3 linked regions of the Coturnix japonica genome follow. Each later gene encodes a partner of the first gene's protein in a complex. Links are inferred from orthologs where the notes say so. Each region holds a gene or a part of one and is shown in the gene's direction. Other genes may lie near its edges. The genes, in order: NCBP1, nuclear cap-binding protein subunit 2 and NCBP3.

Region 1 (10,412 bases):
ATCATCTCGACACAAAATGTCTTTGAAGAGAGGCTGAGCAAGCATAACTTCAATGTAGAGATTGGTAGCTACTTTGCTTCCACCAACTGTTCCATTAATTCCTTCCGAAGCAACTCGTACCTAGAAGGCAAGAGCAGAAGAAAAGGCCTACAGCTTAGTACCAACAGAAACAGATTGTGGTGAAAATGAGCAAAATATGATTCACTTATGAAAGGCAGACACAGAAGTAGGTTTGGAAAAGAGACTAATGAGGCAGGGATGGAGACAAAAATGATTACAGTGAAGCTGAGCAGAAAAAAATAAAGCATAGTAAAACATAAACTGGAATTAAAAAAACAAACAAACCAGGAGCTGCCTTTATGCTGTTTCAAAAGACTGACAGAGAGGTAAGTTTGAGCAATAAACAGAGATAATAACTGGTTAACTGGTAGGGTTACTCCAGGCAACCCAACAGGCTCCCAAGCAACCCTACATGCTTGAGTTGGAATAGCTGAAAACTGCTTGATGGAAAGAGACCGATGGGCTGTCAGCTGAATATGAGCCATCAGTGTGCCCAGGTGACCAAGGCCAATGGCATCCTGGCTTGTATCAGGAATGGTGTGGTGAGCAGGACTAGGGAAGTCATCCTATACCTGGCATTGGCACTTCAAGTACTGTGTTCAGTTTTGGGGTGCCCAGTACAGAAAGGACATTGAGGTGCTGAAACAGGTCCAAAGAAAGGCAACAAGGCTGGGGAAGGGCTTGGAGAATCAACCCTATGAGGAGTGTCTGAAGGAACTGGGGCTGTTTAGTCTAGGGAAAAGGAGGCTGAGGGGAGACGTTATTGCTCTCTTCCAATACCTGAAAGGTGCTTACAGCGAGAGTGGGGCTGGTCTGTTCTCACTGGTGACAGGAGGGGAAATGGCCTCAAGTTGCACCAGGGGAAATTTAGTTGGCTATCAGGAAACACTTCTTTACAGAAAGGGTTGTTAAGTACTGCAATAGGCTCCCCAGGGAGGTACTTGGGTCACCATCCCTGGACGTGCTTAAAAACAGTTTGGATGTGGTGCTCAGGGACATGATTTAGAGGAGGGCTGTTAAGATCTGGGGTAGTATGGTTGGGTTGTGGTTGATCTTGATCTCTAAGGTCTTTTTCAACCTGAGCAATTCTATGATTCTATGATTAACAAGCAAATACTGCAGTCAGCATTCAAATTCCTACTGAAAGTCTGCTTCAGGAAGAGCAGTGGGATTGTGCTCAATGACTCAGATAGCTGAAAGGAAAATGTGAGAATGTATAATACAGCATGCAGTACTAAATGTCAGCATGAGTCATTTCACCTACATCACTGACACAAATCAAAACTTCTGAGGTGAAATGGGGAAGAAAAAAGACTGAACACAGGAGTGGAAAGAAAAAAAAAGCATTTGAAAAGGCAACTGCTGAAACAAATTGGAAAGGGAAAGAAAAAAAGACTTTCTTCCTCCCCTATCCAGCCACTAGAAAAGATACTGAGCCAAAGAAAAGAAGTTAGTGCATCAGAGGACATTTTACCCTCAGACTCTGCAGATGTGGACTAAGGGAGATGTCTTCTTTTCTTTCCTTTTGAGTAAGGAAGGTTGGGTCTGTAGAACATGGAGCACTGAACCCATTCTGCTTTAAAGATACCCACCAGCAGCAGTAATGCACTTGAACACAACATGGCTTATCTTAAGGTACAGAGGCAGGTCTTCTACTATTGGCATAGAAAGAAAAGCTATTCAGGAAGACAGGTCATATATCAAAGTAGTGTCCTGATCTGAGCTGCCCTCTTGAAAAAGTCTTCCTCTCTTAGGAGCTTTTGAGCCCAGAATTTGCCTCTGCCCATAGCCTCCAGTAGCCAGCTAGATGAGCCAAGTGCCCTGTTGGCCCAAAATGAAACTGAAGCTGAGAAAAGTGAGAAAGTAACGTGACATGCCAATGAGTGTCAAGCAGGCATTCCCTTTATTACAACACTGAGTGTGTATAATACGTACATGTGCACTGAGAGAAGCAGAGACTCCGTATTTAAGGGTATTGCATATACACACTCATTACACTCCAAAGACATGGGCAGAAATCCCCCTTCTACTCAGCTCTTCTGAGGCCCCATCTCGAATGCTGCATCCAGGCCCACTAAGATGGTCAGAGGGCTGGAGCACCACTCTAGAATACTGAGGGAACTGGGCTTGTTAAGCTTGGAGAAGAGAAGGCTCCAGGGAGACCTCATTGTGGCCTTCCACTATTTGAAGGGAGCATATAAACAGGAGGAAGAACTGCTGTTTACAAGGGTAGATAGTGATAGAACAAGGGGGAATGGTTTTAAACTAAGACCGGAAATTTAGGTTGGACATTAGGAAGAAATTTTTCACATGGAGGGTGGTGATGCACTGGAACAGGCTGTCCAAGGAGGTTGTGGATGCCCCATCCCTGGAGGCATTCCAGGCCAGGCTGGATGTGGCTCTGGGCAGCCTGGTCAGCTGGGTGGTGACCCTGCCCACGGCAGGGCCTTTTCAACCCAGGCCATTCGATGACTCTATGAAATTCCAAGAAATAATTAACACCTCTGGTGGCCATGGGATGAAGCCAAATAGTCATTCTCATGATAAACTTCCAACCTTTTAAGGGGGGGGGGGGGGGGGGTAGTCCAAACCAGCTCGTACTGGTGTTTTGTTGAGCTGAGGCATCTGTTTCACTCTCCCATCTTCAACAACAGGACATCTATTCTACTTTCTTATCTTCACTTTCTTATCTTCACTTGTTAGTTTCACAGCCTCCACATTTTGTACTTGAGCTTACATTTATGCAAGCATCCTGTCCTTCAGCTTGTATCTGCTCAAGTTATGCAAAAGGCTGTTCTCACAATATGGAAAAGCTGTTCTCATGATTCAAAATGAACAAAGATACCATGTAGGAAGGAGCACTGCTATGTTGTGGTGTGACCAAAGCAGTTAGTTGCTCGCTTTTCACTCTTGACAATTCTGAATTACAACTTGGTGCCATGACCCCAACCACTGCACTTGGTATTGACACATCTAGCAGACCCCAATCTGTGTGTGCTGCATGTCCAGCTTGGCCTTCAGGGCATGCTGAACTGCACTTGTTACCTCATCACAAGGTAAAATGAGCATCATTGATCACAGAGCCTACAGTACATCACTCACTCACATGTTCATATCTTAATATATCTGCCTAGAACCTTACCTTGCCAGTGAGATGCAGATGCTGGCACAGAGCCTTCTGCCAAGCACAAAGTTTCTCTGGATCCTTCACCTCACAGTAGCAGTAATACAGAAGTACTTCTCCCACCTTGCTGCCCAGAACACACAAAAGATGAACAAGTAGGAAAAGGATGTTAGAGTTGAAAGCACAAACCCTTTAAAAAGCTGACGATTTTCTCCTGGTGGATGTAACAGGGGAAAAAAACACAAAATTCTGGAGAGGTTAGAACTGCTGAGTCTAACTCATTTCCAAGAGAAAAGATATAAACTAAGGGTAGTTCCAAAATTCCTTCTTCTATGAACTAAGGTGTGGTGTCCCACCTTCTGGCTTGCCTGAGCTAGACTGACTGAAGCAGAATCATCTTGGGCCACATATATGTAAGGCTGATCCAAAATTAAGGCCTCCTATATACTCTCAGAAAATACAGCCCACGCAAAGAGCACAATAACACTATTAGAACAACTTATCACCTAAAAAACACTGTTTTTCAGCATTGCCACCAGCATTAGCTACACATTTCACTAATGATGAACAAGAGGCTGCATGACAAGCTAGGGATTAATTCTGGAGCAGTCCTCATAAAATGTATAGAATAGTTTATATCACAGAATCACAGAATGACCCGGGTTGGAAGGGACCTCAAGGATCATGTAGTTCCAACCCCCCTGCCTGGCAGGGCCACCAAACATACGCCTTTACTAGATCAGGTTGCCCAGGGCCCCGTCCAACCTGGTCTTGAACACCTCCAAGGACGGGGCATCCACAACCTCCCTGGGCAGCCTGTTCCAGGGTCTAACCACTCTCCTAGTGAAGAACTTCCCCCTAACATCCAACCTAAATCTTCCCTCTTTCAACTTAAAACCATTTCCCCGAGTCCTGCTATTGTCAGTTTATGCATGTAAGTATCTCATTGCAACTCAACACATTCCATTGAAAACTTATAGCTCCTATTCTCAGGTTCCTGTAGCAAAATAGAAAGCAAGAGTACATATTCGTGCATAGAGCATAAGCCACACCGGCCTTACCTGGTCAGCTCGTCGCTGCGTAGGCCGCTGGTGTCGGGCAGCACCTCGCAGAGCTCTCCACAGGCCTGTCCTCCCGCCCGCTCAGCACACACCGCCCTGCTGATGGTGCCATGCCCTGCCGCCTGCTGCTCCACGTCCCCGCCGTGCTGCGTACCGACGTGCCGATGGATACCACGGCGCTCACGGAACGTCTGCCGGCAGCACCTCCACCACACGGCCGCCCCGCTGCACGGGTAGGCGGCCGGCACCTCTTTGGCCTTGACGAACAGGGAGAACGCCTGCAAGGCAGACGGCCGTTACCACAGGCGGCCGGTTACCACAGGCGGCCGGTTACCACAGGCGGCCGGTTACCACAGGCGGCCGGTTACCACAGGCGGCCTGGAGCCCCAGCGCCCCGTGCCCACCCTACGTACCTTCCTTCTGGCGGAGGCACGCTGTTTCCTAGCGGCGGCCGCCTGAGCCGCAGCGCTGCACCGAGATACAGCCTCCGTCTGCGCCTCGCCCGGCGCCATCTTGCTCCTTCGGCCCCACCCCCGGAAGAGCTGTGGGGCTGAAAGCGGAACTGGAAGTGGAGGCGAGGCCGACGGAAGCGGGCGGGGAAGGAGCGCGGTCGGCTGAGTCCCGCTCGGCGCGGCCCGGTGTGTGCTCGTCACTCAGCGCCATGTCGCGGCGGAGACACAGCGATGATAGCGATGACAGCGATGGTGAGCGATGGGTGCCCCCACGCTTCTCCCTGCGTGGCCCTGTGGTGGGTGGGATGGGTGGGCGGCAGGTGAGAGGCTGGGCGGTTAACGGTGTGGTCGCTGTGTGGAGCAGGGCAGCCCCACAAGAGGCGGAGGACGTCGGAGCCGTCCGAGATCGAGGAGAGGCTCGAGTCGCTCATCTGCAGAGTGGGGGAGAAGGTAGGACACAACGGCGGCCGCGTGGCGCACGGAGCGGGGCTGGTGTACTGCTGTATTCAATGGGCGCTGTTAGACTAAGTGTTGTCTGGTTGATGCTGCAGCATTTCTTTATTTCTTCCTTTATTTTGCCTTCTGTAGAGTAATTCATCCCTGGAGAGCAACTTGGAGGGCCTAGCTGGTGTGTTGGAAGCTGATCTGCCAAATTACAAAAGCAAGATACTAAGAATTCTGTGTACTGTGTACGTATGCAGGCTGGGGGGGACTGAGAGGTGCTTGCTTTCCTTGCATTGGAAACATTGGAGTGTTTGAGGCAATCTGAGCATTCTGTGGTGGTTTTTTAGTTCTCAACTGTTGTTACCTTTCCTACAAACAGAAGAAATAGAAGGGATGAACTCACTGAGTTCTGGGGGTAATTTAAGGAAAATATTTCCTTGCCGTATGTGAACTTGAAATGTATACAAGGCTTCAAGCAGAAGAGAATCAGCACTGTTGCCCAGCAGCAGCAAAAGCACAATGCTGGGTAACACACTGCCCCCCAAAGAAATAGAGGCATTGAACCTGTAGGCTGCCAGTACCTCTTGCTTGTGATGCCTTCCTGTGGCCTGTTCCTCTGCTCTGGGCATGTGGTGGTGCTGATTAATGAGCCCATCCTTGGGAACACAGAGGGGCTGCTGGCAGCACTCCAGTCACTCCCTATAGTGGTAAAATGTATTTGAAAATATAGAGTTAGTCTACAGGTATGCAAAAAAGGTTGAGGAAAGCTAGTTGTTTACAATAGGACCCACCATTTTCTGTTTTTTCCCTACAATCTCCCTAAATCAATTGCTTTGACTGAAGAAACTTAGGATCAAATTTATCAGTGTAAAATGTGTAAATCTTGTGTAGTCTTAAAAGAGCGTTTTGCATCTTTGAATAAATTCTATCACGTTACTTAGCCCCATCTCCAGGACACTTAGAAATTAGAAATAAATAAAAAGCAAATTACTTAAATTAGTTGCAAGTGACATCTGCTTTCCTAAAAGTAATCCTCCCTCCTAGAAAAAGAAACAGTCTGAAAGCATTAACCATGGGAACAACTACAGATTATGTTAATGTTTTTTGTTACTTCCACATGAAACAAGTTTAGCTTACTATAAGCAAATTCTGGGCTGGTATGCTGTTGTTGGTTGGTTTATGATGAATAAGTGCTAACGCTGTGTTTCTCTTTCTGTGTCAGTGCACGTCTGTTACCAGAAAAGCTTACTGTTTACACAACACTAGTTGGGTTGCTGAATGCCAGGAACTACAACTTTGGTGGGGAATTTGTAGAAGCCATGATTCGTCAGCTTAAAGAATGTCTGAAAGTCAATATGTACAATGAAGCTGTGCATTTAGTAAGTGTCTCTTTGTGTTAGATGTTTTCCTCACCTTTTTTCTTTCCTCCCTTTCACCTTTCCATGAGAACTTGGCCTTTCTACATGTATTACAGTCTTTAAATTTCATTGATGCTTGCTTTTATGTAGATAAACTGAGAGGAATTGTATGTTATATGAGGAGTACTTCCTTCCCAAGGGGAGAAAAATCATGTCACAGTTGCAGACTGTGTTTCAAATGTGTATTTCCTCAGTTGCAAGTTAATTTGCAGCCAAGGGAGGTCATTCTGCTCTTGCCAGCCTTTTCTGCAGCAAAGTATAAAAAGTGGATGAAACTCATGCTTTTTGATATTTTGTATTAGTTGCTCTTTTGGCTCCCATGGAAGGGGAAAAAAAGGCTCAGTCTTAAAACTAGTGTTTCATGACTGCTACCAGGCCTGTGTTATTTGTCCCCCAAAGAGGGGTAGTCAGAGAAAGCAGACAATTGTTAGTGCTTTCTCTGAAGCCACTTGCTCAGCTCTCACTTCAGAGATCTTATAAGAGAGAAGACCAGTTGCAAGCTACACTGCTTCTTTTAAAGCCCATTGATGAGGGAAGAAAGAAGAGAACAGTTCCCACTATAACATGTTCCCAAAACTTTTTGTAGTACCCCAAACCTTTTCTACTTAAATTGCCATTTATGCCGGTCTGGATTTCTTGTTAGTATGCCTCCAAATGAATGATGTATTCCTGCCATGAGGAATGTTTTCATTGCCAAGGCTGATTCCTAGCCTTGCTCACCTTTCTGAGACCTGACAATGCAGTCAGCTTTTACATCAGCTTTCCCTTTGTAGCTATCTGTGTTTATGAACAAATAACTATGGAAATTTGTCTCATCTGAAAGACTCTAAATGATGCCATTTCTGGTTCACCTCTGGACTCATGAAGAAGTTGATCAATCCAACTTCAGCATTTAAGAAGGCATTTGTGGGTTTGTTTGTTTGTTTTACACTTGGGGAAGAGAAAATGTGGTTGTTCTATATGTTTTGTTACGTGCTTGCATGCCTTTAAATGCATATTGGTGTTTCCCACCCTGCCATTATTAGGAGTTGTAGTGTTACAGTTATTACGGATGTTACAGACATTATGGACCTCATGGACATTATAATGAGCAAACTGTGCTTGACTGTGCTTACATTGTTCCTTGTGGTTGCCAGGGGTACCTGTACAGTATGCAGTATTTCTGCCTTCCTAGTGCTGAATGATTACCTGTATCTTTGGTTGTAGTTGTTGAAGTAGTGTTTATCTCGAGCAGCCAGCTAAAATACTTTCATTGAAAACACTTTTTTTGGTCTTTTTTAGGTTCGTTTTCTGTCTGATCTTGTGAATTGTCATGTCATAGCTGCACCTTCGATGGTAGCTATGTTTGAGAACTTTGTGAGCGTGACACAGGAGGAAGACGTACCACAAGTAAGTCAAAGATTTGTAGGCTCCTCCAGGGCTGTTTTCAAGGACATCATTACTTTACCATTGCTTTTGTACTTATGCTTGGCACAGGATGGTTTTAGAGACAGCAACCTAGATGGACTGGCATCTGCATGTTCCTTGATATGAGTGAAAGTGGCCCCTGGCAGTTGGGAAATACTTATGTATAGTAAGGAAGTGTGAGCCTCCATAGTGAGGTATCTGCACTGAATGAATCTTACTTTACCTTGGCAGCTGCACAGTGCCTGGCTTGTTCTGCCAGGTTTGTTTACACTCAAAATATAAAGATAACTGCAGGAAGACTGTGAAAGTGATTGTTTTCAAGCCTGATTGTCATAGTTCAAGTTAAAAGTTGTACATTTCTAGCAGTAATGTATGTTTTTTCTTCATTACTTACCTACTGAGTCTTCAGCTGCTGATCTTTGTGTCACCACAAAGCAGTAGTTTAAATTAAAATGGAATGTATGTAGGAAATCTTCTAGAGCTTAGTTGTGTGCTTAAGTCTCAGAATATTTCTTTCCTGTAGGTACGATGTGACTGGTATATGTTCGCATTTCTGTCATCTTTACCTTGGGTTGGAAAGGAATTGTATGAAAAAAAGGATGCTGAGATGGATCGTCTTTTATCACAAACAGAAAGCTATCTGAAGTAAGTTGTAAAATATTCCTTCAAGTACTTATTCAGGATAACAATAACCTTGATTAGTGTTCATTTAAAAAATACCAGGTCCTAGGTCTAAGTTGTTTTCGTTGGGATTGGGGGGAGAATGCATGGAGAAATGTAAGAACACTGTAAAAATGGACAGATGGAGTAATCTACCTTTTAAAATTTAAAAGTTTAGTTGCATTGTCTATTGTTAGGGTATGGTGACAGTCTTGTCCAGCTTGTGCTGGGACAGCTGTAGCAGTAACTGCTGCAAATACTGAAAGGTTACCTTAGTACTGTGCAGTGAGACTAGATTTTGTCTAGGTGATTCAAGTTAGGATTGCTCTCAGGATATGATTGCAGAGATGATAATTAAAACTCTTTTTTTTTTTTCTTTTGCATACTAGACTTCAACAACTGAAGAGATTAAGTAGTAGGGTACTTGTTTTTTCTTTTTTTTTTCCTTATTGTGACTGTACTAAAAATGCTGTTAAGGGTTAGGTTTTCTTTTCTGTGTAAACAGACGCCGCCAGAAGATTCACGTTCCAATGTTACAAGTCTGGACTGCTGATAAACCGCATCCACAGGAAGAGGTGAGTGGGTTCTGTATTGTATTCTTTGAGAAAGTCTGAAAATCTGTTGTGGTAGAAGCACAGGCAGCTTCTATTCAGACAGCTAGAAGATTAAGAGGTACCTCTGAAAGTATTTGTGCTGTTAATTGTCTCCTGTTTGTCATTATTTAAAACAAGTTCTAGGTAAGGAGTTCCTGTCTAAATCTTAGACCTAAGTTGTGGCATGTTATGGGGTGAGTATTAGGTGTTACTAAATGAAGAATGGCTGTAAGCTGTGGCAGTGCTTTTGGAACTGCAAATAGAAGGCTTCGTGCTACTTTTGTGAAAAGCAAAGTGTAATTCCATGCCCCATAGTGTCTTCTCTTTGCTAGGAAGGAGTCTTTAAAGTGGCTTTGCTTTCTCAGCACTAGGAAGTACTAAACAAATGTACAGAAACTGTACTCAGCAGCTTCTGTGCCATCTTTCTTCAATTAAAGTAAAAATACTACAGAGTGGAGGTGGTATCTGTGTAGCTTGGTGTAGAGTTTACCTTCTCTGGTTTTGGTTTTTGTTTTTCTTCTTATTCCTCCCCCAAGTTTGGGGGCAAACTTGGTTGAAAAGTGTGATTAAAAATTAAGTGTATCTTCAGGGAGTTTTTTGACTAGTAATCCTTTGTACATTTTTCTCTGTTCTGATTAAATCAAATCCCTGTTTTTAAATCTCAACAGTCTTAACAACTGTCTTGTTAATGCCAATTTGAAGAAATAGGATTTCTGATAATGACTGTTTCATCATGAGTACTGTTCTTGCGCAATATCTGTTTTCTCATTTAGTTTAGTAAAAAAGAGATTAGCAGAAAGCATTTTAGAGCTTGTGATGTCCAGCATACCTTCAGTGTTACTTTTCATATCAGGTGCTAGTTGTTCGTATTTTTTTTCCATTTCATAGAGTGGTGCAAATGACTTCTTTGTGGAGATTTTTCACCTTAAAACGTGCATTCAGTAAGGCCACACACAGATTGCTAAAGTCTGTGGCCTCCAGACTTCTTGAGCCTGCTTTTAGCAGGGGCATTGAAAGCAGCTGGACAAAGTAGACATGTAGCTAGTATTACAATTAAGTGTGTGTACCATTTCTGAGAGAGTGTTAGGGTTTCCAATTGATCTGAAAATCATAGCAAATATATTTAATTGTTGGTACTATTGCAATTGTCTTCAGTATGCAGCAGCTGGTACTTTTGAACATGGTGGTTCTCC
Region 2 (10,473 bases), on another chromosome or scaffold:
ATCACTTCCAGGACAGCCAGTGTTAAATCCCTTCTTACTGATATATATATAGTGTAGGTGAGAGGTATTCCAGCTCTTCAGTTTGTCACAAGTGTCTCTCACATCTGAATTAACTCTACTTGCAGCACGAGGCTTAAGGTGCTCCACTATACAACACTGTAAGATACTGAAATAAATGAACGTGCTGCTCTTACAACGTCTTAACACACGACAAAGATGTGGTGCTAACTGCATTGACTCAGCAAGGCATCCCTTTGATAACACGGGCCCACCTTCAGCATGTTATCTTCTCTCACTCACTTTCCATAATTTACAGGCATCTCTCACTCACTTTCCAAAGTAACTGCAATAGGTTTCCAAGGTTTCCCACAGCCACCAGCTGTACTTCACTGCTCACCTGCCATCAGCCTTACCAAAATCTGCCTCCGAATGGTTCCCTCTGGAGGATCGCTGCCTTCACAAAGGTACACCAGCCTGCAAGCAACAAATCTCACTGCAAGAAAGTAACGCGTATATTTCTAAGTTCCTTTTTGTTGCTGTTGTTGAGAAAGTCAGTTTAAAATTATGAGAGAGAAACTTTTGGAAGCTTCAGAATTAAAATTTTAGTCAAGCTGCTTTAAATTGCTTCTCAGGCATCAAAAAGAAAAAAATCCATCCCAAGATACCAAGATATTCTCCTCAAAACGTCTATTAAACACTTTAGAAAGAGTTTAAGTCAAAGACACGGCATTCAAAGACTTAATTACATTGCAGGTGCTCACTGTAACATGCCTCGAGCACCTCAAAACAGCCTTCAGCAAAGTAGGGAAATCAAGTTTAATAATCTTTACGTTTTCAAAGTAAAAAGCACAAGTATCTTCTGGCCTTTTTTATACACTGGGGATAGAAAACACACCACTTAATGTATTTAAAATAGCCTCTCCCTGGCCCTTCAGCTGTGATATAAGATCTGAGAACATTATGTTCTACAACAATTATCACTTATTTTGTGTAAACTTACCCTTTTCCCTTCACCTGACATCACTTAACATGATGCAGATTATACTTAATTTTAACCGCTATCCCTTAGGACAAAAATGTAGGCCAGATACTGCAGTCCTGCAGCACCACATAAAGAACTGGTTGACAGCATAGACCAAAAGCTCACTTTGCTTTTCCCCAGCTCTAAGCAAACCCACCAGCTGTATGTAGATGGCTATAGATGGCTGTATATGGAAGGCTATAGATAGAAATTGACAGTCAAAGATTTACATCAGTGTTATGTCCACACATTCACAATAGCATCACAAGGCAATGCAGAGTTTCCTTTGGAAACATCACCTCTTTATTGATGCACTGGCACAGAAAGAGGGAATGATGAGAATACCTACTCTGATTCTGTGCCACAAAGAACATCACTGTTATTCCATGGTGATCCTTCCCAAACTGTTTGTGTAAGTCCAGCTGCTCAGTTTCCTCTGTCTATACCCTATCGGCAAACATCCAAACAACCCACAGCACTATGTATATACCTGTCAGCAGGGAGCTTTTCCTTTCCACACTGCAGCACACAAACACATTGAGAAAGGAAAAGAATGCATACATACATTTAGCTCTTTGCTCATCGTTGATGACAGAACTTGTGTGTTTGGTTACAGCCCAGTTCCACAGGCTTATTGCACCCTCTTCAACCTGAGAGAGAATTCCATTCCATTTAATTTTATCATGCGTTTGGATTAAGTTGAAATTTACTCCTGAAAAAGCTTCCATCTTTCATGTTTACCACGGCACAATGTTTGGACTATTCTATTTTACAGACTGGGTACTCCAAGGGACTGGGAAGCAGTTAGCAGGGATCACACGCTTTTCACAAGGATATTTCACAACATATTCTCAGTCTTCTAAAAGACTATTTCCCATCTTCTGAACGTTTGAGAGTCTCTGAGATGACAAAGGTAGGAAAGAACATGGCTGCAAATCAAAGGCTGCCATGGCCTGAAACTAAGAAGAGCTAATTAATCATAAGATCAATAGCAGCAAGCACATATATGCCATGTCATCCATCAGTGCCTTCAGCTCCGATCTGAAGTTAAACCAAACAGCAAATCCTGTTTGAGAAGTGGTGGACTTCAGAAACATTCAAATATGTTCCTGAACAAATCCCATTAATCTGCTGTATTGCTGAAACAGCCTGACATATGTTTCTGTCAAGTCCTTTTCCAGGCCTAGCAAAACATGACCTGATTTACCCCATCCATCTGGGATGAAGTTTTCTCACATGCATTCATACATACAAAATTTGTGCAACAGCACATCGCCACATCCAAAACACAACTGAATCCCCGGCAGCTTTCAGAACACATTATGTACATTGTAAGCAGATGTTGTGAAATTAGAAAGGGCTGGAAAAGAGAAGTGTATCAGATTTGAAAACACATCTATAGTGTGACTTTAACTCTTTGGCCTGTATTGAATTGTAAGTGGTGGAAAGGACCCTTTGGGGCCATTTGATTCAGCTCCCTGCACTGAGCAGGGACACCCACAGCTCTGTCAATGCTCAGAGCCCACCCAGCCCGACCCTGGGTGTCTGCAGGGATGGGGCACCCAACTGATCTCCGGGCAACCTGTGCCAGTGCCTCACCACTCCTACAGTAAGAAACATCTCCCCTATATCCAATATAAATCTCCCTTCTTCTAGTTTGAAACCATTTCCCCTAGTCCTGTCACAACAGACCCTGCTACAGAGTCTGTCCCCTTCCTTCTTACAGCCTCTATCTACAGGCTGCTCTCAGCCCTCTTGAGCCTTCCCTTCTCCAAGCTGCACAGCCCCAGCTCTCAGCCGGTCCTCACAGGAAGGTGTTCCAAGCCCATGGTCATTTTTGTGGCTCTCCTCTGGACACACTCCAACAAGATTAAGTGGTTTAATCGTCCTCAGTAGCAACCCAGAAACTTCTGATGTTATCAGATAAACAACAAAAGCTATGGACTGGAAACTCTCGTTAAAAGCTGATGCAGCTTTGCACAAAGGTAATAAACCCTGATAACCCAACGTTGCGGACAAGCCGGCAGTGCTGAGCGCCCCATGCACGGGGAAGGACAGGCGGTGCGCGGCCTGCTACCTCCGCCGCGCTGCCGTCCGCCTCACTGAGGGCCCCCGCCGCCTGGAACAGCTCCTCGGTGAGGGCCGCGATGCGGGGCGGGGCCTCCTCCCTCAGCAGCTCACGGAGCAGCTCTGCAAGACAAGCCGGGAGGGAAACGTCAGGCTGAGCGTCGGAGCGGCTACGCAGCCGCAGCCGCAGCCGCAACCGCAGCCCCCGGGCGGCGATATTGAGCGGCCGGTACCTCCCGCCGCCGCCATCCGCCCGCCCACCATGGCCGACACCGCCCTGAGGAGAGCGCCGGGCCACCCCGCGCTGCATGCAGGGAGCGAAGCGGCGCGCGGTGATTGGCTGCTCGGCACGATCGCCCCGCCTTTCCGCCCCGTGTAGCCAATCAGGCTGCGCGGCGGTTGGCCTGCCCGCTAGGCCGCTGTCCTGCGGGAGTCGCGGCGGTTGTGGAAGGATCCCGGGATCAGGGACCTGCCGGGAGCCGGCGAGACAGAGAGATGTCGGGGCTGCTGCACACCACGCTCAGCGGGCTCAACAGCGACTCGTACTGCGAGATCAGCCGATACCGGGACCAGCACTTCCGGGTGCGCGCGGGGCGGGGGCAGCGGGGCCTGAGGCCGAGGGGCCTGTCTGGGGAGGGGGCTGCGGGCGGGGCGGGGCCGGGCTGCCAGGATGTGATGTGCCATAGTGTGGCCCCGTCACGGTGTGGCCCCGTCACGGTGTGGCCCCGTCACGGTGTGAGCCCGTCACGGTGTGAGCCCGTCACGGTGTGAGCCCGTCTCGGTGTGGCCCCGTCACGGTGTGAGCCCGTGCTGTGCTCCGCTTTGCCCTCAGGGGAGCAAAAAGCTTCAGGAGAAGTTCCTGAAGATCTCCTCCACGCTGTACGTGGGCAACCTGTCCTTCTACACCACCGAGGAGCAGATCCAGGAGCTGTTCTCCAAGTGTGGCGATGTCAAGAAGATCATCATGGGGCTGGACAAGGTGAAGAAAACAGCCTGCGGCTTCTGCTTCGTGGAGTATCCTTTCTGGGCCCTATTTGCAGTAAGATCAGCTGTCAAAAACCCTGAAAGGAGTGAAACTCACGGGGCTCCCTTCCAGGCATACTGCTGCCTGCATTCCCAACACCACCCAAACCACCCGCATTGCCATAGGTGAAAGTCGTGTGTGGATGCTGAGCCCTTGTACGGCCCAAGCTATGGGCACGTGTTCACGTTCTCACCTTGGCTTCACACCTGCAGAACCAGCAGGGAGATCCGTGGTGCTGTTCCCAAGCACAAGGCATGTGCTCGTACACGTTGTGCTGCGAGCTGTTTGCAGAGCTCTCCTGTGAGGCCGGTGCCTCCTGTTCAAATTCAGTTGAGTTTAATGTGGTATTAAAAAAAAAAAGCATCAGATTTCTTGCCCTTAGCAAGGCTTTAACGGTTTGCTTTATCTACTTGTGAAATAAGTGATCCAAAGCTGTTTCTTGTCTGTACAGGTACTAACATTGCAGCCAGAACCTGAGGAAGGAGTGGGAGCTATTTTCAGCTTGGATTTATAGAGTACAGCTTTTTGATCCCATAGAAAAGAGCGGGAAAAGTAGAAAAGGCTGGAAGACAGGAAAGGTTCTTCTGCTTCTTAAATACAATGGCTTGATATTGGTGTTTTTTTTACCCTACAGGCAGCAAAGTGGCATGTTTAGTTTTCCTTATGGTATGGTTTAGATATTACACAAGAGCAGATGCTGAGCACGCAATGCGATTCATCAACGGCACACGGCTCGATGACCGCATTGTTCGAACAGACTGGGATGCAGGATTCAAGGAGGGACGGCAGTATGGAAGAGGAAAGACTGGTGGACAGGTAAAGGCAATACCAGCTCAGGCCTTGAATACAGTCCCCCTAGGGCAGTGCTGTTTTGTTTGTTTTGTCTCATTCAGAAGTGCAGACCCAGCAATGAATTTTAGGTGATATTGGTAACTAGTGCTACCTTGGTATAAAGAGCTGGAAGCATAACTATGGCTACAGCTGGACAGGACTCCATGACTCCTCACAGTACAAGCGAAATTTTCCCTGTTCCAGGCTAGCAGTTTTTAAATGATGCAGAATTTGAATGGGGAGGGAGCACAATTTCTAGATCCATGATGGATTCATGATCCATCAGTTTGCCCTGTGAGAAGCTAAATTTCCCTTACAGATTTCTGGAGGGTTGGGGAAGGGAGAAACGCTCTGGAGGCCAAGCTTAGCAGTTCAGAGAGTTGGAAGCTGGATGACAAAGCTGAATCAAAATATTTTGGGATCTTTGCTTCCCCTCTAAAATGATCTGACAGCAGATGTATCCTCATTTGTCACTTGCACCATCTGTTTGGTGGATTGTTTGAAGAGATTTCAAACTGAGTCAAAGTAATTCTCACCTGAACTTCATTTCTCAGACTACGGAGCAAGGAAGTGGTGATGATTCTGAAGCCTAACATGATGCTAATACTTGTGTTACTGCCTTGCTCCAGGTGCGAGATGAATACCGGACAGACTACGATGTGGGAAGAGGAGGTTTTGGCAAGATTATACAGATGCAGAAGGCAAATCAACAGCCTGCAGTCTACTAATTGCCTCATGGGTTCTAGCTCGTAGAGGGCTCTGTTCTTCTTGAGCTAGCCGTGTTCTTGCGTTTTGGATTGGGGTAGGGAGTGAGATCCAAGTTCCAGCAAAAGGTGACCCTCCTTAGACTGTGGATATACATGTGTTCATTCCCCCTTTCTTCTGGATTAGAGAGGATGTTCTGTGCTGATACAGGGCAACAAGGGAAACAAGTGGACAACTCTGCAGGATTCTGGTAAGAAGAAATGCAGCATGTCACACGCACCTCATGTTAGGATGTACTCTTTGCATTACAGCTAGGCGGTTGGCTTCTTCCAAGCCATGATTGCAGCTGTGGTTGCTCTCAGATAGAACTCTGTGAACCGTGCCACTGTTGGAGCCCTGTAGGTGCCCGGGCACCTTGTTGGGATGCACAGAAGTTTCAAAGTTCTAATTTACAAGTTCACCTGCTTACAAAGCAGTTTCACTATTTGGATGAGAGAAGCTGAGCAAGGTCTCGCTGTCCACTTGGAGGTGCTTGCCTGTACATCTAGACCTTGGGTTGGTCAGGGCCTGCAGAGCCTTTATGATGCCCCAGTGCTGCCTGCTTTTTCAGATCCTCACTGTTCGGCATGGTTTTCTTAAAAGTTTCTTTCAATTTTTTAAATAAACAGTGAGTCCTGTACCTGTTGCAGTCTGTGGCTCTATGACAAGACCTGCAGGGAACATTTCCTGATGGTACTTTAAAGTTGCTGTCACTTGCAAACACAAAATGGGGGACATTCTAAAGGAGGGCACAAGTCTTGCTGTATTTCTGTTGGCTTCCCTCTTACTAATAGCTTTTCCTCTTGTGCTTTGCAATAGCTGATGGCTGGTATCAGAGGGAAGCTGCTTATAAAATGCTCTGAATAAGTAGTCTTTATGTTTCATACCAACAGATTCCAGGAAAACTTGTGATCTTGTCAATTATTCCACAGTGTGAGACATATATGAAGCAATACAAAAGTGTAACTTGCATTTAAGAGAAGGAGGAACCAGAAACTCCCCTGTGTTCATGATAGACTTTCTTCCCCATTTAAGAGAAGCATGGCTGATACTCTTAAATTTTTCCCAGGGTCCAACAAGGGAAGAGAGAAGATTAAAACCCCCACTGATCTGTCCTCTAGAACCTCCCAGCCAGGGTTACTGGTTTCATTGGACAAATTAAATTCTGACTAATTTGGTTTAGTGTGATGTAAATAATAGTAGCTGTTCCTTGTCCAGTAATGTGTAATCATGATATTTCATGCACTGTCTCATCCAAGATAGTACATGCTGTTCTATTGCACACCCATGTGTAGACCAGGCATGTAATTTAATGATTTTAACTCTCGCATTACAGCTGAGGAGGATGGTATGGTAGCATTAATGCCTTGAGATGTCTCCTACTTGCTTGTTTTGCAAGTCAGGTTGCTGCATTCTGACAGCTGTCACAAGTCTTGAAGGAGCAACATGTTTAGACCTCACCTGACTGAAGAAATGACAGGGTTGACAAGCCTGTGATACGAGCTGCCCCTGAGATGCAATGAAAGGAGCAGGATGTTGAATTTGAAGAGAAGAATCTAAGCAGTTGTCTGCCAGCCTGGCAGAGCAGCATCATGTGAGGTCCTCTGAGGGGATATGGATTACATAGAAAAATTGCTTGGGCAAACAGCTAGCAGAAGGGAAAATGTGAGAAATACGGGGAAATCTGCTGTGAAACTCTTCTGTTAGCTACAGAATCTCACGTATATGAGGTAGGGAAACAAGGCAAGATCTCAGTTTGCTCCTGATATGGCATGTTGGTCATGTCATTCCTATGTGTCTGATAGAACATGTAGAAATCTGTTCAGTCGAGCACCCGCCTGGGCTGTTTCATGACTGTGGCAGGCATGTCTGTCCCTGCTCTTCAAGATACTATAATTTCTTCTCTGCACTGGTCTGCATGTCCTGCTCGTTTCAGCCTGGAGGGAGAGTACCTCCCTCCTTCAGCAGGTCCCAGACCAGTGTTGGCAAGCTGTGCACTTCCCCTTTAGGCATAACATTTGCGAAGAGATTTGTGCTGACATTTATTCAAATACGTGTATTTGCTTAAAAGAATTCATCTCAAATATTACAGCTGCAGTTAATGCCTTCCTTCTAAAGCCATCCATCCCACAGAGAATTAAAGAGAGATGAGAAGGTTTACAAGTAAGTAGGTGATCCCAGCTCTTAGCCTATGCTGCAGCATGTATGTACCTACATGGAACCACACTGCAGCAGTCAGAAGAGCCACTCTTGCCAGGGGTGTGATCAAAGACCAGGGCTGCCAACATGCTGGAGCAGCCCCTCCTGCCCTGGCTGTACTTGCTGGAGCATTGTGCCCAAAAACCTCAGGCTCCAGGGTTGCTTTTCAGGCATCTTTCATTAGGCACACAAAGGCACCATTAGAAGAAGAAAAAGTCCTTTGTCCTCACAGAACTGGGGCAGTGCCAAGCTGGCAGTGCAGCTAACAAACCAAGACACCTGAAGTGACCCAGGAGAAAAAGTGCAGCTGGGCAGCAAGCCTGTGGCTGCCTCTCAGAACTGCTAGCTGTTAACCTGCTGCAGGCAGCAGCCACCAGACCCAGTGGCTCTTTCAGCAAATGACTCTGACACTGAGTTCACCAAAGGAGCTTGTACACTCCTCAGGCTTAGTTGCGTCTCTCCACTGGATCCCATGTGTTTTGCAGAGACCATATTACTCCAGGACAGAATGAAGTTTAGCAGTGAGTGGAGCAGTTTCAGCAGGCAATGCTCCTCACACTCCTCAGCCTCATGCTCACTCACAAACACCACACTCAGAGCCATCTGCACCGGGGAGGGGAGGAGGAAAGTTCCAATTCTCATTAATTCTGGCAGCTTTTATAGTCCCCTTTGATCCAATAACAAATCTGAGCAAACTTGGGAGCAGTCAGGAGAACAGCAACATTATAGTCCTGCTGCTCCCCCCCGACTTCCAGCCACTGATGCCCGGAGAAGATGCCAATCACCTTCCTCTCCCACTTGTGCTGCATGGGATCCCACACCTTGCCATACACCCCAGAGCCGGAAGCGCCAGGCCTGGCATTGCAGTGCTGGTAGATGAGGTGTGCCGTCTCATCCTCCACCCCACAGAAGCGGTATAGCAGCTCTCCTGGCCGGTCACTGTCAAACCCTGAGAAATGAATCCTCTTCCCAGCCATCTCCTCTGCTGCTGGAGCCACCGTCAGCTCCATGTGCGGGCGCTGGTGTGGTCTGCATAGCTCCAAAAGGGCATAATCATAGTCCATGCTGACTGAGTTGAGGCTCTGGATCCAACCCTTGGGCACCTGCGTGCGTCGCACATGAGCCCAGCGCATCACCGGCCTCCCCGTGCCATTGGCTGGCGTCAGGAAGCCCACCTTGATCTTCTTGGCACCCTTCACATAATCTTGGTCATTGTGGACACAGTGGGCAGCCGCGAGGATGTGCTGCTCGGACAGCAGCACCCCTGTGCACCCCGTGGAGATCTTAACTGTGGTGGAGAAGGGGTAGTCCATCAGGAAGTGGTTCCCGCTGATGGAAAACTGTCCATCCGTGCCATAAATCTGTTGCTTGCGCCGCGTGCGCCTCCTTGGCCACCTCCTCTCCATGCTGCCCTCACCGGGGCTCAGCTCCACTGTGGTGAGGGTGCGGGTGCCGTTGGCGTGCAGTGTCTAATAAAAGAGGTACTCCTGGAAGTCCTGGGGGAGCAGAGCGGCCTCCCACTGGACATACGCCTGGTCACAGCGCGTAGCCAACTCCAACACAGGCTGTGCCAAGAACCGCGCTCTGCCCAGCTGCAGCGTGGACCGGGGAACGAGGGTGGGAACTGAACCCCCAGCTGCAGTGCTGGGAAGGAAGGAAAGCAAGAGGATGGAAACCACCTGGCAGCGAGTCATCTTTCCAGACCTGCAAAGGCAAAGCAAGGAGACCATTAAGCCTGCCCGATTAGAGCCAGCCACCTGCTGCGGCTCACGGCTTGGGGGATTATCACACGCGCGTGGCCCCTCACCAGCTGCTGGGTCGTGCATTCTTAAGCTGCTGCCTGGAGCTGTGTGACTAACTAGAGATGATAGAAATCTACCTTTGATCTCCTGCAGCTCTTTTGGATGGCAGTGCCTGGCAGTGCTGCAGGAGTATTGCAGGAATACCACGAGGGGATGAGTTTCCTCTGTCACGCCAGAAGTCCTGCTGCTCGGATGTGGATCCCCTAGATTCCAACAGGGCATGTCCCTCCCAGCAGCTGCAGCACCTGGTGACCCGCATGGAGGATGAGGAGGTGTGACAGTACCTGCTCCCTGCAGAGAGAGATGACAGCTCTGTCCCACTGTTCCTACAGAGGAGAGGAAGGTGCACAAGCTCCAGGGCTATACCTGAATTGAAGTATTTGGTGTCACAGTGCGGCGAGGACAAGGCAGCTTGTGTTAACTCCAAACTGGATTGCTGCACTCCATCTGAAACTCAATCTGTCATCGCTTCTCCATGTGCCGGGCCCACCCTGTGCCTATTGAGCAGGTTCTACAGCCCCAGCTCCCGGCACCGCTCAGCTCTCTGCTCCCATCCTGCCCTCAACGTACTGAGATGGACACATCAGCCAGAGTGCAGGATGATCCCTGTGTCCCCCAAGGCTGCCGGGGTCTGCGTGGACACGTGGCAACACTCCGGGTTATGAAAGTCGCAGGGGAGTGGGGGTGGAGCCATGCAGGGAGGCTGAGAGCCGCAAGCTCTGCTTTCCACACCCTGACCCCTCATGCTACAGCCGAGCTTCATCCTGGACTTCCCCATCCGCTGC
Region 3 (9,799 bases), on another chromosome or scaffold:
GAGGGGAGTAAACTCTTGGAAAGGGCTGACAATAGCAGGACACGGGGAAATGGTTTTAAGTTAAAAGAGGGAAGATTTAGGTTGGATGTCAGGGGGAAGTTCTTCACTAGGAGAGTGGTGAGGCCCTGGAACAGGCTGCCCAGGGAGGTTGTGGATGCCCCGTCCTTGGAGGTGTTCAAGGCCAGGTTGGACGGGGCCCTGGGCAACCTGATCTAGTAAAGGTGTATGTTTGGTGGCCCTGCCAGGCAGGGGGTTGGAACTACATGATCCTTGAGGTCCCTTCCAACCCGGGTCATTCTGTGAATATGTGGCCTAAGAGACAGCACCCAACCGTATGGACTTCCTTGTGCTCCATCAGACACCTCCAGACAGCAGTGGTTTGGTTGTTGTTTTGTTTTGTTTTTTTCCAGTTGAAAAACGTTTATTTTGCTGTTCTCCGTTTAATTCTATTCCTGTTTTAAATATCTTGTAACTTTAAGGGAAGTTTGTTACTAAGAAAAGCTGTTGGGCTCGGTGTGTGACTGTTTTCTAACCGAGCCTGACCTACTTTTTAGTAAAAAGGCCTTTAGCCAAAATAATTATTGGAGCACAAGGGTAAGCAGCATATTTATCCTTAGACATAGCAAGGCACGTTGCTCATGTCACAAACCTTCCCTAGGAGATGGTTCTGAGGGTTCCAGAATGAAGCAGTTGTGAAACATGCAGACAGGACACAGCTGGGTCACTACTCCAGGGTTCGTGTTGTTCACTACAGGCTTAGGTTTCAGTGGTCTCCATTGGTGGAAATGAGTTTTATGTTTGTTCGTCAGTGCTGTCAATCTTCCTCTGGGTCTGTAGTCATGTATCAAACCAGGGATAATTTGTATTGCTTCTGCCCTGTTGCTGAGACAAAGTAAAAATGTGAGCAATTGAACAATTAATAATACAGCAGTTATTGCAGAAGCACACGTTTCTCATAGCAGAGGAATCTGGGTTCATTTGATGTGCTTTAACTCTCACTGATGTCAGTGAGGTTAAGTGCTCATATACCTGACTCTGTATGGATGTGTAGCTTGAAGTAAGGATGGATTTCTCATAGGCCAGATTTGTTTTAGCCTAGTGATTACGTTGCAGTCAGCATTCATTGAGTTTTCATCACTGTTTTGCTTTGTTTCAGGACACTAGTAGGAGATACGAAAACAAAGCTGGAAGTTTCATTACTGGAATAGATGTAACATCCAAGGTAATTTCTGTCCTGTGGTTCTTTGAAGTGTTTTAATTATTGCGGCAGGAAAAGAGGAAACACTTCATTTCTTTCCTAAGAGTCACAGAAGCTTCCTATTATGAAAACACAATAACTAGACAATTCTCCTTCATGTTGGTTGCAAACAACATCTGGGTGGGTTCTTGTGATTTCTAAGTAGCAAAATTTGTGTCCAAAACCTGAAAATGTGTACAAAGTCTGTACATTTGTTAGGAAGGAAAAATAAATCTTACTGTTCCATCATAGAAACTGGTCATGGGTTCAGGATATTTTATTTTCTACGCATTTTGATCCTCATTACGTTGCCAGACTTGCATTAGAAGTACTAAATAGCACAGTAACATGTCAGTGAGTTCTTTTAGTGTTCTGAAAGATACAGATCTCTTCAGAAATAAGAGAAATATTAACATAGCTTGTTGCTGCTTGGTCAGTTGTATTTTAATATCCAGTCTTATGATGTCAGTTGCTGGGAAGGCTGTGCTGTTCCTGTTTTGACTGGATCGTTTCACATTGTGCAGGAAGCGATTGAGAAAAAGGAACAAAGAGCAAAGCGCTTCCATTTTCGAGCTGAAGTGAATCTTGCCCAAAGGAATGTAGCTCTGGATCGAGACATGATGAAGAAAGGTATGATTTTATCCAGCAATTAAGAAGGAAAGGTCTCTTTGTTTGCTTCCTCACAGTTCCTTTACTTAATTTATATTGTTTTATCTCCTAGTGGCACCTAATGTGTGTGTGTCCAAGATCTGTCTTTGGGACCGATGCTGCCTTAAGTGTATTTAACATCCTTGAAAAGGCCTTAGGCACTGTTTGTATGCGAGTGTAGGACTCTGTGTCCTGTGCACAGAAAGATCAGATTCCATGAGTGATGGCACATGTGCTGTAAGATGGCAAGCTGGATGTGCTGGAGTAGAAGCAGATAAGCTGAGAGATGTGCACACACAACAGATAGGCATTTTTGGCATCCAGTTAGTTCCCAAGGCCTTTGTCCAGCTGGCAGCTTGGACCAGCTGAGCTGAGGCCTGTAAAATCTCTCCATGAGATTTGCACAAAACTTGTACTATGTCCTGGTCATGGGCCTCATTAGTATTATGCTCTTTGGTACGTAGTGGAAGAACTTTAGTAGCATTTTAAAGAAAAAAAGAGAAAAAAACCTGTGTAAGGCAGTTTGATGTTTTTCAGTCCCTTCACCTTTCTCTCTCTTTTTAATTCTCAGTTAACATTTTACATTGTGGAATAACTCAAATTCTGGTGTTGTAGAATGGTGAACATCATTCTTTTACACCTTTAACTTATTTTGAATGTTTGCTTTAGAAATCCATATGTTATGAACGTAAAAACTTGCTTTGTAGAAATGAGTGTCAGTTTTCTCTCTCTTCCTCTTTTATAGCAATTCCTAAAGTGAGACTGGACACAATCTACATTTGTGGGGTGGATGAAATGAGTACTCAGGACATCTTTGCCTATTTCAAAGAGTATCCTCCTGCTCACATTGAGTGGTTAGATGATACTTCATGTAAGTCAATGGAATCTTGTTTGTCATTCTTTATATCAGTGTAGCTGTACCTTGGATGTCTTTGTGGCTTTGTCTATCTGTTTCCGTTTCATTAACCTTAGCCAAATGAGACTTATTAAGAATTAATAGTGTGTGTTGAAAATCAAACCCACTGTCTGAATGAGTATTTAGAAAGAAAATGATTTTAAAAGGACCTAAATAGCTTACCATTACACAAATCACTGATGTTGAAGGAGAGTAAAATAAATGCACTGGAAGATAAGAGAGTGGACAGTGATTAAAGTGTCAGGGCAGGAGAGTCACTTGTGGAGGACGTGAATTGAGTTCATTACAAGTTAAAGTGGTACTGTTCAAAGTATGGTGGTCTAATTAATACAATTAGAAAAGCTGAAGAGGGAAGAATATCAACGCATAGAGAAGTAAGTTGTGTAGCTCTTAGAAAATGGAGTAAAGAAAACACGATGAAGAACTAAGGTCCCTTCCAACCCATACGAGACTGTGATACTGTGAACTGTTTGTTGACAATCTGAAATTATCAGGAAGGAACAACATAAAGTAGCTTGCCAGTTCTGACGTGAAAAAAAAATGGTCTAAAAGTATGGTACTGCTTACGTTTTGGCACAAATAGTGTATCTGCTTGTGTCACAGAGGATAATATTGAGAGAGGAAATTAACTGTATGCAGCTAAAAGAGGCTGGTATGGCTTTGTGCTGGGAGGGAGCAGACTTGTTGCTATATTTGTTTAGTTCCTTCTCAGGGAAGAATTAGTGGGTGGAGGAAGGTGGCTGATGAATGAGACGTGCATAGATTGGAAGGGGAATGCAAATCCACATAGCAAGGGCTGTTGTGAGGAGTGTGAATGCAGTGAGATTGCCAGAAGGATAAAAGGTTCTGCATCAATATGTATAAAATGCTCTTAATGGGCCTTACAAGTTTTACTTCAGTAGCATCTGCTGATACTTGAGGTATACGTGAAGCACTTACTGACTCCCGTTGTTAACTTACGTACTGTGTAGCCTCTTTAAAGTGCTTGAGCAGTCTCTTATTTATCTGCTCTTTGGAAACGGTTAACAGAGTAATGTGCTAAGGTCCAAAGTTTGGTTAAATTTAAATAAAAATAGAGAAATAATCCTTGGGTTGCTGTTTTATCTTTTTTTTTTCTTTTTGATCTTCAGTTGCATTTCTGTGCTAACACATTCATGAAATTCAGTGGCTCTTATCCAGTACTGTAGTAATCTCTGCTCTGATATATATGTGTAGTTATGCATTTTGGTGGGCTCAGTTATGATCAGTTGTTGTGTGTTTTTGTAACTGGATGAAAGCTGTGTGTCCCCCAGGTGAACAAGGGTTAAAGAACAGGAATTCCCTCATGAGAGATGGATCTGATTACATTTTAGTCATGTCCCACGATAAGAACATTTCTGACACTTCTGTTTGCAGTTTCCCTGCATTAAGGCAGTGCATGTGACTGCTTGTTTACACAAAGCGCATTTTACTTTTGTGTGTGTTTCTATCTGTATGTCACAGGCAATGTGGTCTGGCTTGATGAAGTAACAGCAACACGGGCTCTAATAAACATGAGTTCCTTTCCTGATCAAGAGAAACCAAAAGGCAGAGAAAACAGTGAAGAGAAGACAGCAGAAAAAAACAAGAAAGGTAGATGAGATATGCATATACAGATGTCATCTCATTAAATCAATTAAGCTTTAAACTTGTGCTTGGGTACTGCGTAATCTAAATTACTGAAGGAGCTTCTATCATATAGTTGCAGGTAAATGTATTCTGCCACTTTAAAAAAGGCTTTCATCTTGGAAACCTTTTGAAGAAACTACTTCTTAAAAGGTGGGTTGGAGTTAGACCGACAGCAGTAATTTGGTCAGTACTGAACATGTTAGATGCAGGGTCAGATCCAGATGTGGTATTTGTAGTGGTCCACGTTGCACGGAAATAAGTCTGTGTTATGTGTGTGCAAAGGCAGTGGAAGGATGGATATTTTAACTGTGGAAACAGCAGGTGTAAGAAAATATCCTAGTTTTGGAATACTGCAGTTTATTCTTTGGCTTGATACCACACCACCCTTCATGTATACTATCCACATTGCTGTGTATATCATTCTGTGTTTAGCAGTCTAAATTTGACTGTTTTTCTTTCAAGGCAGAAAGACTCTGAAAGGTCCCTTATAAAAGGGCACTGAAAGTACAGCTCAGTCTTGTGCTAAATTTGGTATCTGAATGCCTTAGTTAGAAATTCATTGTAGTGGTTTAAATTAAGAGTCAGATCAATGTGATTTCATTGTTCAAAGTACTGTCCTAAAGAGTACGAAGTGAAGGGGGGTGTTTTATTTATGAACTCTTCCCAGATTTTGCTTAAAAAGCATTTGAACAAAACGCAAATGGACAATTTCTCTATTCTATATTCACAGTTCTACCAAAAGCCTGTTTGTTAAAATTTGGGCTTTAAACTTGTGGATGCTTCTAACTCATTCCCTTTTCTTCTTGTTGCTTTTCTCTATGGTGCAGTGGTTCCTCCGCCATCCATGTGACTTTAAAATATTGGTAATGCAAGATCTATTACAAAGTTTTAGGGAGATTAGTGAATGTCTTTTTTAAATAGAGCATAAAGATATGTATATTTTAATATTAATCTTGTTGGCTGCGGTGTACGTGTTACATCATCAAAATCATGTCATTTAAATTCCTCCTACATAATCTTACTCACCTGTTCAGCTGGAAAAGTGGGATACTGGATGGAGTACAAGCTAAGCAGATCACATGTTAAGGTGTGGGGTGCATACAGATATATTAATCTGGCTTAGGTATGTCTCTAGATGAGAACTTGAGGCCCGTGTAGACATTTAGGGTTGCAGGAGACATGTCTTTACAGTGAGAAGCTTATATAAAACCTGATGTTTGAATGCTGTCCCTGGTGGAAGTCAGTTAATGTTTGATTTTGGCTAATTTGTCTCCTGAAGTTCTTTTTGGGATCAGATTGATTCATTGTGCTTTAGTTTTTCCCTTGAACTTGGGTGTAGTTGTCAAGTTTTAATAGCTGTGGTTCTCTATTAGAAGTTGTCAAGTTCAGTCAGAGGAGATTTAAGAGAAGGAACTGTGAAATATAGAGGTGGGTTTTTTAGTCATGTGTCTTTTTGGGAGGCTCAAAAACAATTTCCGTAATAATTTTCTTCTGTGAGCCAAAAGAAAACCAAACAAAAGAAAACCTGAAAAACCTATTTAGACAACACATAGTATATGTAGTTTGGGAAGTGTGTGCTCCTCTGTTAGCTATTTCACTTCAGAACTGAGTCACTGCCCTCCCTACTTTGAGTAGTAACCTGCTTCACATTGTGAGTACTGGATACCTGTAGGTACTTGCAGCATTTAGAAGGGAGGTGGAAGGAAACAGGCTTTGATCCACGTTTTGCAGTCTTGTCTTTGCTGATCTCTGTCATACTTTGAAATTGCAGTGCAGTTTCATTTGCTTTCAGATAAGTAAATTGATAATCCGTGCACGCTGCCTCCGGCACTTACCTGTATGGGGGCTGTCTGGTTAATGTTATTCTGTGCTCATGTGTGCTTCAGATTTCTGTAGACATTCACTGTTTTGATTACTCTCTAGGCTGCACAGAGGAATTGATAAACCCCTTCAGTTTGATTTCAGAGACTTTAGATACTAATATTCAAATGAACTGGAACATTAAAATGTAGATTTCTTTTCCCAATTATTTTCTTCTTTAGAAAAACAGGAGGAAAGTACTGATGATGAGACAGAAGAAGGCGAGGTTGAGGATGAAAATCCAAGTGACATTGAGGTCAGTATAGAAAGAAAATGAAAACCCCATTATGGACATTTTGCTCTCACTGATGTATTCGTGACATTATAGTTTTTACCATACATGCTCATAATTTACAGTTTAATTATTGAAGGAAATAAGGTGGAGAAAAAGGCAGGAAGTGCAGATGTTCTGCTGGTGAGAATAGCCTCATAAAAATGCTTTGTGAAAGTAATTTTTGAAGACTAATAGGGCAGTCAGCATGTAAGAGCTAGGCTGCCTGCTCTATCTAGACTGCCTGCCTGCCTGTTAAAGGAGATAATGAAAAAACAATAGTGGAAGGCAGTTTCCTTTCAGTATAGAAAACAGTGTATAAAGTAGGGAAAAAAAGGGGACTTAGGCTGCCCATAGATTTGTGTGGGCGTCAGCAAACACACTGATGTTTTGTAAGTAGTTTAATCTTCACTGGTTGAATTTATATAATGGGTGCCATTAGTATTTTCTTTAGGGATGGCTCAGCAAACATTCACCCAGATTATGGAAATCTGAATTTTGGCTTATGGAAAGCAGTTATAAATAAATAGTAATAATAACAATAATGCCTGTAAGTCACTGTGTGAAGGCAGAGACCCCATTGGTGAAACCATTTGTAGATGAAACAAACAAAAGCAATCAAGTCTTTCTTTTTCAGTGTCCGAGTTTATTTATTTTCTTCATTGCAGTCATACTGCAGCTTCATTTGAGAACTGATTTAATAATCAGAACAAGTGTTAGGGAGGAAGAGACAAAAATATTTTAAACCTTTTGGCAAGAAAAAGTTTAAAATACGTGATAACTTGTCAAGAAAGAAGTGGAGTTAGTCTGAACAGAACATGGAAAGTAATTTAATAACCAAGGGATTGCTTCTCTGCGAGCAATCCATTTTCATTCAAAAGTAATTTTATTTTTGAGTCCAAAATACCTTTTTTGCCCCCAAAGTTGGATGCCCTCACCCAGGTAGAAGAGGATTCTCTCCTGCGTAATGATCTTCGCCCTGCCAATAAACTGGCTAAAGGAAACAAGCTATTCATGAGATTTGCTACTAAAGGTAAATGAACAGCTTAACAAGCATAATGAATTGATTGCTTGTTGCAGTTTTATTTGTTGACTGATTAATTACTTGAAGCACCTAATTTTTATTTGCATAACTGTTAGGTTTTTTGCTAATTATTAGGTATTAAGATTTTGCTATGAATACACATTCAGTTTGAATTAAATCCAGTTCGTGCTCTATGGAGATTATTGTACATAAAATATTATCTTGGGTTTAGGGCATTCTTCCTTCCCAATACCATAGAATAGGTTTTATGGTGTACTTCTCCACAGAGGTGAATTTCATGTTATAAACTTGAAAATCAGTTGTGATGTTTATGAGGTACTGATGGAAATTGTCACTTAATGCAGCTGAGTTATTAAATTGTATTTTTGAATAAAATGAAAATGCACGTAATTACTGAGCCATGTGGAAGGTGGCAGATCCATAAAGAAAAGAAAGGTCAGGAATAAGGTGAGTGTGGCCTCCAGCAGTTGCACTGGGGTGTAATGCTCCCTTAAGCTGACATGCAGAAACTCAGAGTCTCCATGGAATTGGGCACAAATAAAACTGTGGTGGTAGGAGAAATTTCAGTTGAGGTGTCATCAAAATTGTATCATTTGGGAAGGAAATTGAAATACCACGGACCTGTAAGGAGATAACTCAGTCTTCCTTTCTCTCTCTGTGTCTGACTGGATGCTAGTGAGGTAAATTCAAAGAGGAAAAGAAATATTCTTTTAACATATATTTTTTTCAGATGACAAAAAAGAACTGGGAGCTGCAAGGAGAAGCCAGTATTACATGAAATATGGCAATCCCAATTATGGAGGCATGAAGGGGATTCTTAGTAACTCTTGGTGAGTGTGGGATGGAGGAATTGGGAGGCTGCAGATACTCAGACAAGGTGGTTCAAAGCTGTTGTGACTTGATCTTTTTTTCCTTTTAGTTTCTGTAGATATATCTGAAGTGTGAATAATGTTTCTGCAAAGCGATGATGTATTTGCTAGGGGAATATTTTGTTGTGATGGTAGAAAGTTTTCAGTACACACATGCAGAACAGTTCTCAGGCATAAATGTCTGTTATGAAGTGAGTGAGAATTGCACATGCTTAATCCAGGATTGGTTACAGCTCGTTTCTTTTTGATAGGAATGTCATTCTTCTTATGGTGTTTCAGGAAACGGAGATACCATTCACGTCGAATCCATCGGGATGTGATAAAGAAAAGGACGCTTATTGGGGATGATGTTGGCCTGACTCCTCCTTACAAACATCGGCACTCTGGTAATTGCTGACAGTGTGTCAAAGCTGTGCAAGTGTAACTGGGGGAGTGGAGGGCTGGATGCATTATTTTTGGCATTACTACTTACAGGAGTTGAGAAGATTCTCATAAGCCAACAGGTGTCACATTAAGCTGTGCAAGATGATAGGAATTGTTACGTTTAGTTCAGTATGAACTGCCCCTGCAGCAAGAGGCAGTCATACCTTATACCTTGAGTCCAGCTACATGCTTGAGCAGTATTCTGAGGTAGTGGAACACTACGGGCTTTCTTCTCCTGTAGTGATTTTCTCCCTCTTAGATTACTCTGTAGGACAGATTCCACTTAGAATTTTGGCAAAGTATTCTCTTTTTAGCCTTGAACAACTACAAAGGCTCATTTCTATCGCATCATTTCTTTACAGTAATAATTTTCTGCCTTGTTCTTATCTATGATAAGTGAAAAGCTTCAGTTTCTCAGAATCAGTTTGTTTTGCTGTAGGGTTGGTAAATGTTCCCGAGGAGCCTATCGAGGAGGAAGAGGAGGAGGAAGAAGTTCAGGATATGGATGAAGATGACAGAGTGGTTGTAGAGTACCGTGATGATTTACAACCTTTCAAACAGTCCCGAGACCGTGGTACGGCGAGACGATCGAGTGCAAGTGCATCTGATTCTGATGAAATGGACTATGATCTTGAACTGAAAATGATATCGACCCCCTCTCCCAAAAAGAGCATGAAAATGACAATGTACGCAGATGAAGTGGAATCACAACTGAAAAATATTAGGTAAAGGTTCCCTGTTCTTTAGAAGTGTCAGTGAAAAGGCATTTAAATGTAATTAGTGACAGTAATGTAAAAGCTTAAAGGCAAACTGTTGAAGCTGCTATTTCAATTCTTAACATAATTTTGCAGTAGACGTTTTAGAGGTGAAATGCAAACTACAC

What was found.
Region 2: the proteins of NCBP1 (region 1) and nuclear cap-binding protein subunit 2 are in contact, whole or in part, in a crystal structure (PDB 5OOB), measured with the Homo sapiens proteins. The link is inferred for Coturnix japonica from reciprocal best matches to the Homo sapiens genes NCBP1 and NCBP2. Residues at the interface, in NP_002477.1 of Homo sapiens: Glu32, Cys36, Leu71, Thr74, Val75, Arg77, Leu78, Leu79, Ser324, His325, Trp326, Lys327, Glu328, Arg329, Lys330, Ile368, Val370, Met371, Thr374, Glu378, Asn415, His419, Ser422, Asn423, Gln425, Lys455, Arg458, Leu459, Ser460, Tyr461; in NP_031388.2 of Homo sapiens: Gly4, Leu5, Leu6, Lys7, Leu9, Arg10, Ser11, Asp12, Ser13, Tyr14, Glu53, Glu54, Gln55, Tyr57, Glu58, Leu59, Lys62, Ser63, Asp65, Lys67, Ile69, Tyr89, Asn96, Arg99, Tyr100, Asn102, Gly103, Thr104, Arg105, Leu106.
Region 3: the proteins of NCBP1 (region 1) and NCBP3 are in contact, whole or in part, in a cryo-EM structure (PDB 8BY6), measured with the Homo sapiens proteins. The link is inferred for Coturnix japonica from reciprocal best matches to the Homo sapiens genes NCBP1 and NCBP3. Residues at the interface, in NP_002477.1 of Homo sapiens: Lys330, Ile377, Glu378, Cys380, Lys381, Pro384, Pro388, Gln389, Ala392, His420, Asn423, Phe424, Gln425, Arg427, Trp428, Ser429, Glu431, Asp432; in NP_001107590.1 of Homo sapiens: Glu572, Asp574, Glu576, Leu577, Gln578, Ala580, Trp581, Gly582, Leu584, Ile585, Lys588, Glu589, Arg592.

Annotation. Positions count from the first base shown.
Region 1 is NC_029547.1:62,573,817-62,584,228, reverse strand, and holds the start of NCBP1 (nuclear cap-binding protein subunit 1), read left to right. Parts: upstream 1-4,800; 5' UTR 4,801-4,906; coding exon 4,907-4,949; intron 4,950-5,061; coding exon 5,062-5,147; intron 5,148-5,285; coding exon 5,286-5,386; intron 5,387-6,363; coding exon 6,364-6,520; intron 6,521-7,840; coding exon 7,841-7,948; intron 7,949-8,489; coding exon 8,490-8,611; intron 8,612-9,131; coding exon 9,132-9,201; intron 9,202-10,412. Other genes in the region: TSTD2 (thiosulfate sulfurtransferase/rhodanese-like domain-containing protein 2), read right to left, coding at 1-120, 3,203-3,311, 4,246-4,523, 4,659-4,757. UniProt on the Homo sapiens protein: Component of the cap-binding complex (CBC), which binds cotranscriptionally to the 5'-cap of pre-mRNAs and is involved in various processes such as pre-mRNA splicing, translation regulation, nonsense-mediated mRNA decay, RNA-mediated gene silencing (RNAi) by microRNAs (miRNAs) and mRNA export.
Region 2 is NC_029519.1:2,389,112-2,399,584, reverse strand, and holds nuclear cap-binding protein subunit 2, read left to right. Parts: upstream 1-3,455; 5' UTR 3,456-3,583; coding exon 3,584-3,670; intron 3,671-3,920; coding exon 3,921-4,102; intron 4,103-4,789; coding exon 4,790-4,928; intron 4,929-5,572; coding exon 5,573-5,671; 3' UTR 5,672-6,595; downstream 6,596-10,473. Other genes in the region: TEX11 (testis-expressed protein 11), read right to left, coding at 414-493, 1,587-1,671, 3,099-3,211, 3,322-3,352. UniProt on the Homo sapiens protein: Component of the cap-binding complex (CBC), which binds co-transcriptionally to the 5' cap of pre-mRNAs and is involved in various processes such as pre-mRNA splicing, translation regulation, nonsense-mediated mRNA decay, RNA-mediated gene silencing (RNAi) by microRNAs (miRNAs) and mRNA export.
Region 3 is NC_029534.1:3,961,174-3,970,972, reverse strand, and holds part of NCBP3 (nuclear cap-binding protein subunit 3), read left to right. Parts: intron 1-1,156; coding exon 1,157-1,222; intron 1,223-1,761; coding exon 1,762-1,867; intron 1,868-2,630; coding exon 2,631-2,756; intron 2,757-4,283; coding exon 4,284-4,412; intron 4,413-6,490; coding exon 6,491-6,564; intron 6,565-7,503; coding exon 7,504-7,612; intron 7,613-8,354; coding exon 8,355-8,454; intron 8,455-8,772; coding exon 8,773-8,879; intron 8,880-9,355; coding exon 9,356-9,641; intron 9,642-9,799. UniProt on the Homo sapiens protein: Associates with NCBP1/CBP80 to form an alternative cap-binding complex (CBC) which plays a key role in mRNA export. NCBP3 serves as adapter protein linking the capped RNAs (m7GpppG-capped RNA) to NCBP1/CBP80.